Linked DNA regions of Danio rerio. The protein of the gene in region 1 interacts with the protein of each later gene in a pairwise test. Links are inferred from orthologs where the notes say so. Each region holds a gene or a part of one and is shown in the gene's direction. Other genes may lie near its edges. The genes, in order: poli, rev1 and dazap2.

Region 1 (3,657 bases):
GTTGTTTTAAAATTTGAAATATTGAAATGTTCACACAGTCACAGGCCTTAAAGGGACCGTTTACTCAAAAATTAAAATTTACTCACTATTTACTCACACTTCACTTATTCCAATACTATAGGAGTTATTCAATTATATTCTTTTTGTGAAATAATTGTGAAAAAAACTCAAAAATGGAAAGTAATTTTTGGGTGAACTTTTTCTTTAAAAATGCAAGCAGATGATAAACTTTTACTCCATTACAATTTAACTATATTAAACTATAATCCCAACATTGCATATCCTGCGGTGTGACTATTGTGGATGCATACATTGCAATATCGATGCTGAAACGGTATATCATGCAGCCCTAACTTGGCCAAAAATATGCTCTCACATTGTTAGTGCTGTGTAAGCATTATCAAAATCAATTTTACATGGATATAAAAAGAAATTTAAACAAAATAGATTGTTGCGTGTTCTATAATTTGCTGTGAAAAATTTGAATATTGTTTGTCTTATTATTTACTATGTATATGTAGACATTACAAAAAACATTGTCATAGAATTTTTGTAGTAAAAAATGTGTATGAACCCTGCTAGTATCTTTGTGTAACACTAAGTTAGGTATTTTTAAGTACACATATTAAATCTGTGTATTAAAGGCATAGTTCACCCAAAAAATTAAATTGCCATCATTTACTCACCCTTACTTGTTCTAAACATAGCCTTTTTTCTGTTGACTGCAGAAGAAGATATTTTAAAGAAATCTGGAAACCATTCACTTCCATTGAATTTGTTTTTCCTCTAGTGATTTTTTCAAAATATCTTCTATTGTTTTTAACATAAGAAAGATACTCATGAAGGGTTGGAACGCCTTAATAAAGTACATTTTAGGGTGAACTATACTTTTAAGGCATACAACAATGCCTTAAAAAACTGACAATGACTTTGTTTGCCCAAGAATTGCTGATGTCGTACTGCCCTCTAGTGGAGCGGCTGGGCTTTGATGAGAACTTCATGGACGTTACAGAAATGGTGGAGAAACGAATAAAGGAGACCCGTATTTCAGATCTCTCCTTCAATGGACACGTATACAATCATGAAAGTGAGTTGTTGGAGCACTGCTTAATATAAAAAATGTTAAACTCCTTTTCATCAAACATTAGTGACAGATCTAGCCTAGTATTTCGTAGTTTGCTGATTCAGATTTTATAAATGCAATAAATTATCTAGAAGAGTTGAACTTACGCTTTTCCTTGTATAGTTTATAATGAACTACTATAATTTCTTGTCATACTAAATCATCTTGCTGATCTTCAGGTGTTGTGGTTGATGAGGAGAACATTCGTTTGGCTGTCGGCTCTGTGATTGCCGCTGAGATGAGGCAAGCCATCTTCAGCACACTGGGGCTAACTGGCTGTGCTGGTGTCGCTAGCAACAAACTATTAGCCAAGCTGGTGTCAGGCAGCTTTAAACCCAACCAGCAGACCACCCTCCTGCCTCACAGCACCGCTGAACTCATGAGCAGCCTTACAGGACTCATCAAAGTGCCAGGTAACATCACACAGAAACTCACCCATTCAGTGGCTACCTATCAATGCTAGAATTGATTTTAAAGTTCTTATTTTAAGACATGGCTCAGTGGTTACCACTGTCGCCTCACAGCACTAAGGTCCCTGGTTTGAGTCCTGGCTGGGGCCAGTTGGCATTTCTGTGTGGAGTTTGCTTGTTCTCCCTGTGTTGGCGTGGGCTTCCTTTGGGTGCTTCGGTTTCCATCACCGTCCAAAGACATGTGCTATCGGTGAATTGAATAAACTAAATTGGCTTGTATGTGTGTAAATGCAAGAGTGTATGTGTGTTTCCCAGCACTTGGTTGCGGCTGAATCAGCATCAGCCATGTAAAACATATGCTGGAATAGTTGGCGGTTCATTTCGCTGTGGCGACCCCTGATAAATAAGGGACTAATGAATTCATTTTTATACATAATTTGGAGTGCTCCTCCTAAACATCTGAGGGCTCAATAAACATCTGCTGGTTTTAAATGGGGTCTAAAAACATACCCTCGACAGACGTTTTTTAATGTCTAAATTTATTTAAGTATTTGAGTAAATCAGTTGGTAGCTGATTTTAACTTCGCTTTAACTTTTTTTTGTTTGTTTGATTAAACTTTGCCCATTCTGCTCAGTTGGTAGCTGATTTTAACTTGTTTGTTTGTTTGTTTGTTTGTTTGTTTGTTTGTTTGTTTGATGGAATAAACTTTATTGTCTGTTCTGCTTGACACAGAAAGTAAATTTGTCTTTAACACTGGTGACAAATACAATCATACAACAATTACATAATAGCAAGACCCACGACAATTCCATTAATTAAAAAATAAAAACTGTCTTCGTCCCATACATATTACTACAGATTATTTTCAACAATCACCCAATTAGCTTCATACAATGATCCAATTGTTTTGCTTTTTTTCAAGTTTTTTTTTTTTTTTAGCACTTTAGGATTTTCCTTAGTTTGAAGTGCATTTAAATAAAAATGATTAATAATAATAATACATAAAGCACTACATAGAGCTTCACCTGAGTGTCTTTGCTCTTTTATAGTCCTTCTCATTCACTCTGTCTCCATGTAAACTTATGGGAGAAAGATTGTATTTTTACTTCAAGCCTGAAAATTCTGGAATGCATTTCCATTTAACACCAGAAGTGCTTCAACTTTTGATCATTTTAAAAAGTTAATTAGGATGCATTTATTTGAAGTGAAGGTTCAAATTTCTGGTAGTTCTAAAGTGGTTAAAAACTGTAATGAAATTTCTATCTCCTTTTAAACGCAAAACAAGATGTTCTGAAGAATGTTGGAATTGACATTCATAGTATAAAAAATATACTATGAAAGTCAATGGCTGTTTTATTCTAGCATTTGTCAGTATAGCTTTGATTGGGTTCAACTGAAGAAAGAAACTCAAAGCAGTTTAGAACAAGTGGAGGATGAGTAAAGGCATAATTAAATATTTTGGGTAAACTATGCCTTAAGTTTGTTTGTAATTGTTCTCATATTTTTTTATTTTTTTATAATGTGTTTAGTTTTACTGTAGAGCTTTAATAAAAAGTGCAATACAAATAAATGCATTATTATGGATTATTACAGGGATTGGTTACAAGACACGTGAGAAGCTGAAGGCTCTGGGTTTGGTTAATGTGAGAGATCTACAGTTGTACCCTTTGTCCGATCTGGTGAAAGAGTTTGGAGAGATGAACGCTAAGAGGATCCAAAACCTCGCCTGTGGGATTGATGATTCTCCAGTGACTCCAGCGGGTCCTCCTCAGGTATTCTGCACATTTATGATTATTCAGGTAAAAATGAAGCAGTCTTAACGGGACAGATTTAATATTGGATATGTTTTAGGATGGGTTTACAACAATATGCATTTACTCATTTAGCAGAAGTTTTGATCTTTGGTTTTTAATGTAAGAGCAAAAAAGTATTGTATCTACTTGTAATTAAAGCAACAAAAAACGTTCATTCATTCATTTTTCTTCAGCTTAGTCCCTTATTTATCAGGGGTCGCCACTGCGGAATGAACCGCCAACTATTTCAGCATATGTTTTACACAACAGATGCCCTTCCAGCTGCAACCCAGTAAAACTGAAACGCCCATACTCTTTTACATGCACAAA
Region 2 (4,300 bases), on another chromosome or scaffold:
AAATACCTAAACCAGCCTAAACTCGTTTAGTTTGTATGAGTTTTGAGCACTTTTTAGCTGGTCAGGCAATAAGGCCAGCTGTGCACATGGTCGACTTTGCTTTAAAAGCAGGTCTGGACATTTTAAGGTATTGATGACTGAAATATGCTTGTGTATTAGTAGCATCAGATACTCTAAATAAGAAAGCTTTACACACTTTAAAGATTTGTGAACTATAATATATAGTGCTCAGCATAATTGAGTACATCACATCTTGAAAGTGAATATTTGAATCCATTGTATCTGTATCCATTTCTCAGTGAGTTTTGGTGCATTTAAACAAAACAGATTTATCAAACAGATATATTTATCAAAGTAATATTTTAGTTACCAAACATATTTAGAAATTCAAAGATAATAAAATTAAATTCATGCAAAATATTGCAAAAAAAAATTACAACCTACAAAATTTTAACAAAATATTTTCAATTTTTTTTGCTTCTCTTGATTTTTCCTCTTTTAAAATTTGTATTCATTATTTTTCTCTAACATATAAAATTGGGTGTACTCGTTTCTGGTCCGTTATCATAAGTTATATTGTTAGATAAACTCCAGATTTAGCTTCAGTACTGACTAATCTAATATATATGCACAAATATAATATTGTATAGCTTCCTATTAAACATCTGAATTTAAAAGATATTAGGTGTACTTATAAATGCTTAGCACTGTAACTATTTGATTTATTACTTATGTACATTCTGTATATTTGTGTTATGTTTATACCCCCTGGCATGTATGTCTTTGTACTTGTAAAATGTTATATGCTGTCCTTTTAAAGAAACAAAAGGAAGCAGATTTTTTCGTTTTATTTTACGATATTTGTCATTGTTTACAGTAATGGCTGTTATATTCCGATATATCTTTAGATTTTTAGTTTATTAAATGTAATCAGTTGCAATCTGCAAAAATGCATTGCACAGCAAAGTAATAAAGTGGATATGCTATTGCACATTTATTGTGCTAGACAGTAAGTGTTTTCAGTTTGATTGTCTGAGGTGCCACTGTGTCTGTAAATAGCATAAAAAACAAATAAAATAAAAGTGGCTGGGAGACATCCATTATCGTTCAATTCCTCATTCTATAGTTGTGTTTTATTTTGTTAACTCTAAAATACTACACTTTATTAAAATAATTGCAGCAAAGTATTGTGACTATAATAAAGCATGGAAATATTATCTAAACATTAAAGGTTTGAAACCGTGTGCATTGTGAATAGTGCTATATTATAAGCAAAAGAGACACAACTTATTCTTTATTCAGGGTTTCAGATGTATTATTTCTTATTAAGAGTCACTCATCTGCATACTAATAAATGAGTGCAAAGAGGAGAACAGATGTGCGTGCTTGTTTTTTGTTTTCCGTGTCTATTTTCAGCCACTCACGCTTTCAGTTTTGGGCTCATTCTTTTGAATTGTTGTCTTTTAGGTCCCTCAGTATGAGTCGAGATGGATGGAGGAAGAAAGCCAGTGAAAATGATGGGTGGGGAGGACAGGTAAGAGTTTAGTTATTTACGCAGAAATGTGTTTATTGAGAGCAGGAAAGGCTCAACAGCTGTTTTATCTCAGAGCTGAATCGTCTTCGTATATATCCCGTGTTGTCTTTGCTATCTGTCTTTGTAAAAACTGAACATTATGTAAATAATAGAACTTATCCATAGATTTCCTTTTAACTATTAATTGCCTTTCTGCTGTTTGTACATCACCCATCATGCTTTGTGTGTGTGTTGCTGCTGAAGTCTAGACAGATTTTCATTTGTATTACACCAGTGAGTAATCTCAATTTTCTTCACTGCTGACCAGCACCTCTGCTCAGTCGCCACAGTCCAGACCCAGCTAGAGATTTGACAAGCTTCGGCATCTTCATGTTCTTCAGGCATTAGCAGAACCACACTAATATAAACAACTCCACAAGCTTCTGTCTTCACTAATAAAATAACAATCTTAGTTCTAACCAGTAGAACTGTTTTACCGCACAATTTGAGACCAGAAATGTGTGATTTTTAAGTAAATGTACTATGTATTTTACTGTGTAAGTGTGATTAAACACAGAAATAGGCTTCTGACAATATAATTTTTTGTTGCAATTAATTGCTGAAGGTTTTATGATGATGTATAGTATTATTGACCTAAGCTGCAAAAATATATTATAACCAAAATATTTGATTGCTTTATTGTCTATATACATGTTCAGAATAAATGAATGTTTTAAGCCAATTAAATTGTAAATGGAAGATAGGTACAATAGGTAATACTTTACAAAAAAGTACCATTAGTAAATGTTAATCAATGCATTAAAATCTACTGTAAAAATGCATTTTATATATTAAAGTTAATTTAGAAAAATATAGCTGAAATTTATTAGCTGTTATCGCACTGCTGTCTGGAATGCTTGATTTTGATTGGCCAATCTCAACATTCTGAGCTGAGGTAAAAAATCACTGAAACTAATAATACAGGCTCATCCATGTATTTGAATCATCCTGACTGTCAGTTAATACGATTGCTTCTGAATCATTTGCATGTCTGTCTCTGCTATTGTTTTTGATGGTTTGGCAGCATTTTGTGAGTTAATAGTACATACTAGGTCAGTGTATGCACCTTTCAGCTGGTTTTGTTTCTATCAGCTTCATCTTTATTAATTTATTATGGCTCAGAAAATGTTTAATGTCTAATTTTGACATTTATGGCAATAGGCATTTAAAAAGCAGGATAAACTACATTCATTTAGTTGTTTTAGCAGCCCAAAAAAGCCATACGCTTGCTCATTCATCCAATCATACGCTATGGCCAATCATATCTACCTATACTATACCGCATGTCTTTGGATTGTGGGGGAAATGAGAGTGTGCAAACTCCAGCTGGGACTTGAACCAGGCATCTTCTTAATATGAGTTGAAAGTGAGCCACCTTGCAGCCCTAGTTAATAACTCCATTTAATAAAAAGATGACTACATTTGATTTTAATGCATTATTAGGTGTTCGCTAATAAGTTAATGTCCCTTTAAGGCAAGTCATTTCACTTAGCGGCCTTGTTTGAAACGCCTCTTGGGCTGTATTTTCGAGCATTCCATCTGAATGGAGAAACATCAAATTTTTCAAAATTGTTTGCCAAGCTTATAATTATATTACATATTTGGAGTCAACAGTAAAATTAAACAACAGTTGTTTCATAAGTTTCGTTTCTAAACGTCTGAATTAAACAAAATCTGCATATTTTCAAGTTGCCAGAGCTAGTGCGCATGCAAACTCGAAAGGAATGAGATCACAACACCAACCTCATTTACGGCAGTGTTACACATCACACAGTGTTGTCCTCTGGATAATGATCATGTAGTCGCACTGGTCATCTGAAATAATCCACAGCTTGGTCTTGATAGCAAATCTTCTCCAGTAGTGAAATCGATTCTATGTTTACACTTTGAGTAATTGCTGTCTCATGATGTGTGTTTGACAGGACTGACTGTACTTCACATTCGTTTATACTGGAGACACGTCAGTCTATAGAGATTTGATGATTAGCTCCTGTACTAGTAGGCGGGGCTTCATTCGCCATATTGACTGTAACACTTTTCTCCATTCAAAACTATACGAGTGACGCATCTTGTGTATTCTATAGTCTTTGCCTAAGGTTAATCAATGCTTTTATATCATTACATTGACTGTAGTTAGGTTAGCTGACGTTGAATGGAAGCTGATCATAAATTGTCTATTAAGGCTTGAAGCGTTTGGTGCTGTGATGTACACTGCAGTGCAGATACAACAATATAAATATCCTTTAATGGTAATCTGAAAGTTGAAATTCTAAATAATTATTTACATTATTTTAAAAACCCACAGCATCAATATATTGTGCACGTTCATGATCACAGTGTATGGCATTATTGGACATCAGCATATGTCTACGCAAAACCTTTATTTGCTTTAGGTTGTGTGTGTGTGTGTGTGTGTGTGTGTGTTGATCTCTCAGAGTGTTGTCTCTCAGGTGTGTTGTTGTTGTGTGTGTGTGTGTGTGTGTGTGTGTGTGTGTGTGTGTGTGTGTGTGTGTGTTGATCTCTCTGATTGATATAAATTAGGTTCAGGGATGCCTCCAGCAAGTGAGTGTTTTCAGGAGTATTTTTCAGTGTGTGTGAGAGTCTGTTTATTGGTTCAAGCTCAACTCTTGAATCCCAGCGTTCCCTCCGTTGCCATGGAGACAGAGAGTCGCCGTGCCAGCAGGGCAGACTTGCACCTCCAGTCTCATTGAATGTCTGAGGCGTAAT
Region 3 (3,657 bases), on another chromosome or scaffold:
AGACAGTTATAACAGATAAAAAGGGGCAAGTCAATACAGCGATTTTATTATGAGTTGTTTCTAAAACCTTAATTTAAAACTGCAGTGATAAAATAACATTTAATTGTAAATTTAAAAATAAATAGTAATGAATACCAATGATTGATGAATACATTGTACTAATCATAAATTTAGACTTTATACAACTGCAGAATTGAATTTCTGTTTATCAGTTCAGTAGCATGTCACAGCATCATCTCATTTGTTAACTAATTACATTTAGGCATTTGGCAGATGCCTTTGTCTAAAGCAACTTACAATTTACTTAATATTTACAGGTGTGTGCAGAATAATTATTTAAAAAATCTTTTTTATGCTATTTTTTAATGTAAAATTGTTTGTGTTCACAGTAAAGTGTGGGATGCATAAACAAATCAATTGTATAAAATACAACCTGAAACCTCAAACAGAGTTTTAAGACTAGATTTGGTGATTTTTCCCAGATGTCGTATTGGACATACAGTTGAAGTCAGAATTATTAGCTCTTTTAATTTTTAATCTTTTCAAAAAATATTTTCTAAATGATGTTTGACGGAGCAAGGCAATTTTTACAGCATGTCTCAATATTTTTTTCCTCTGAAAAAAGTCTTAATTGTTTTATTTCGGCTAGAATCAAAGCAGTTTTTAATTTGTTAAAATCCATTTTCGATATTATTAGCCCCTATAAGCCATTTATTTATTTTTGTGTTGATAGTTACAGAATAAACCATAGTTTTACAATAACTTGCCTAATTAACCTAACCTGCCTAGTTAACCCAATTAACCTAGTTAAGCCTTTAAATGTCACTTTAAGCTGTGTAGAAGTGTCTTGAAAAATATCTAGTCAAATATTGTTAACTGTCATCATGGCAAAGATAAAATAAATCAGTTATTAGAAATGAGATATTAAAACTATTATGTTTAGAAATGTGTTAAAAAAGAATCTTCTCTTCGTTAAACAGAAATTGGGGAAAGAAATAAACAGGGGGGCTAATAATCCAGGGGGGCTAATAATTCTGACTTTAACTGTACAAGAATAACCCATGCTTTTTTGCTTAAAGGTGAAGACCCTACTCAATGTTTGTACCGCAGTATATTATACTGCAATTCCTCTCACATTCAAATACATTTTTCCTCTTGATTCCCGAAGACTTTTTTATGTATTTAAATCTCTAAAGGACGTTTTTAGCAAAGTGACACCAGGAAAAATGTTACATTTTTATCAAGTAAAAATGTATTTAATGTATATATTCATTTGTTTGTTGATTTTTAATTGTAAATTTATTATTGAAATGTTCTTGCCATGAAAATAGACTTGGCTGCTAACATGGCGTTAAATAAAAAACACATTACATTACAGTTCTCAGTACATGAGTGATGCATAATATCAAGAGGTATGAATTTACTTTTAAATGTAAATGAGTAAATATGGGTATATTTTGAGGGATTGGGACATCTTATTTAGGCATTTTTGTTTTTCAGGTGATTTTTAATCAAGTGACGCCTAGGCATGGGCCGGTATAAGATTCTGGCGGTTTGATAACCTTGGATAAAAATATCACGGTTTTACTGTAATACGGTATTGACATTACTGCTTTAAAATATATTCTTTTAAATGTTTGGGTTCCCCTTTGAACACAATATATGGTATTTTGAGAAACACTTAATATTTTGGAGCAGTAAACATGTCAGACTGAATAGTTTAAATGAATCCTTGACCTCTGCTGTCTTCAATTGTTTCAAAACACTGATTTTTTTAACCATTTAAAATAGCAACGTTGGACATCTTTTCTGCTGGAGATATGGTTGTTCTAAAAAAAATATATATATATATATTTATATATATATAAATAAAAAAATCATACAAATACCTTAGGAACGGTATAGCAAAAAATTGACGGTGTCTACCAAACTGCGGTAAACGTTGAAAACGGTTAATGTCCCATGCCTAGTGACACCAGATCTTTATTTGTTTGTTTTATTTATTTATTTAATTTAGATATTTCTAAAAATTAATAGTCATGGCAGGCACTAAACTCTTAACCAGAGGTGCTTAAACACACTTTTCTTATAAAAGGCCCAAAACCTTGACTGATGCCCCATTCACACAGGGCTTCAGCGTCAACGCTTGACAGAGGGTGTGTCTGAAGTTGGGGCTGATGCGATCATCATAGCAGCGTCAGCCAATGAAATTAGTCAGCAATAGGCCACTGTCTAAACTGGTGTATTTGCATACAGCGATCTGATTGGCTAAGGCTTCCGTCGGCACTTGAAATGTTGAGCGAAGAGTCCACAATGCAGTTCGGCAACACCTGATGTTACTTAATTCAAAGTGAATGGGAAGCGTTGCAGCTGACGCCCCGTGTAAATGGGGTGTGAGGGCTGTGGGTCGAAGTTAAAAATACCAAACTGTATTACATTACATTTGCCATGGAAAACTTCCTAATTGATTTGCTAATATTTAAAAATAAAAATAAAACATTGCTTTTAAACATTTTTAAACATGCAGTATCAGATTTAACATGTTATAATAAACTTATTACAGTTAAAACAAACAATCCCAGTTATTAGACAATGGTGTTCAATGCTGAATACACTAGTGGAGCTACTTCGGCCTTTGTCTTGATTTGCTTGCCGATGTCTTGTGCATTGTCTTTTATCTGTCAAGTGGCAGTAAAAGTCTGATTCATTTACAACATTTATATGAAACATTTCATTTTAGTTGGCTTTTTTTTTGGTAGCTACTCAATTAAACAAAGAAACTAAGGCATTCACCCCAACCAACTCACCGTCATTACTGTTCAGATGGGATGATGGGGCTAAACCAAAGGTTACCATTGGCCAACTTTGGCCCTACTTTAGGCACCTCTGCTCTAAACAATCAAAACTAAGATTTAAAATGCCATTGTCTTTCATTAGTCTAATTAACTTCAATTAAAACAATTGAAGTCTTGATATTAAGTGTGAATTATACACTTTTTGTTATCACCTACACAAATGTTTGAAATAGTTTTCTCTCCTACCTGCAGGTTTATCAGCCCAGATATATGGCTCCCCCTCCAGCCCCTGGACAAATGCCCCAGATGACCTCTGCTTACCCTGGTACTCAGATGTACATGCCCATGCATGCCCAGACTGTGCCAATGGGGGCCATGGCTTCTAGTGTCCCGATGGCGTATTATCCGATGGGGCCCGTGTACCCTCCTGGCTCCACTGTCATGGTGGATGGTGGATTTGATGCTGGAGCTCGCTTCGGGCCTGGCACTGGTAGTTCCATTCCGGTGAGTATATGTCCCCTAAACATGATGTGTTTTATCAGCCAAATGAGATTTCCATTATATTAGTCAAGCTCAGTTTATGCTTGAGGGTCACAATGATGAAAACTTTTAGAAATCTGAAGAAATCTGAATGACATGAAAAGACATGATGAGGTTGTTTACACAAGATGCCATATCAGACGCTCAGGACTCACTCATAGACATTTACTCAAAGGATAATTTAAAACATACTATGGAAATGCTTTATTTTTAATTTTATCAGTCAATGATTTTTATCCTTATTTTTATCTCCACCAACATGTAATTACTGTCAAGCTGCTCTCACCATAAAACACATCATATTAGATTGTGAATGTTTAAG

Evidence for each region.
Region 2: the proteins of poli (region 1) and rev1 interact in a two-hybrid assay, tested with the Homo sapiens proteins (2 studies listed by BioGRID). The link is inferred for Danio rerio from reciprocal best matches to the Homo sapiens genes POLI and REV1.
Region 3: the proteins of poli (region 1) and dazap2 interact in binary tests that used the Homo sapiens proteins (3 or more experiments, as listed by UniProt). The two-hybrid records come from large-scale screens. The link is inferred for Danio rerio from reciprocal best matches to the Homo sapiens genes POLI and DAZAP2.

Annotation. Positions count from the first base shown.
Region 1 is NC_133180.1:19,644,725-19,648,381, reverse strand, and holds part of poli (DNA polymerase iota), read left to right. Parts: intron 1-943; coding exon 944-1,087; intron 1,088-1,302; coding exon 1,303-1,536; intron 1,537-3,127; coding exon 3,128-3,306; intron 3,307-3,657. UniProt on the Homo sapiens protein: Error-prone DNA polymerase specifically involved in DNA repair. Plays an important role in translesion synthesis, where the normal high-fidelity DNA polymerases cannot proceed and DNA synthesis stalls. Favors Hoogsteen base-pairing in the active site.
Region 2 is NC_133184.1:23,410,370-23,414,669, forward strand, and holds the start of rev1 (DNA repair protein REV1), read left to right. Parts: upstream 1-1,477; coding exon 1,478-1,534; intron 1,535-4,300. UniProt on the Homo sapiens protein: Deoxycytidyl transferase involved in DNA repair. Transfers a dCMP residue from dCTP to the 3'-end of a DNA primer in a template-dependent reaction.
Region 3 is NC_133198.1:36,680,322-36,683,978, forward strand, and holds part of dazap2 (DAZ-associated protein 2), read left to right. Parts: intron 1-3,047; coding exon 3,048-3,299; intron 3,300-3,657. UniProt on the Homo sapiens protein: In unstressed cells, promotes SIAH1-mediated polyubiquitination and degradation of the serine/threonine-protein kinase HIPK2, probably by acting as a loading factor that potentiates complex formation between HIPK2 and ubiquitin ligase SIAH1.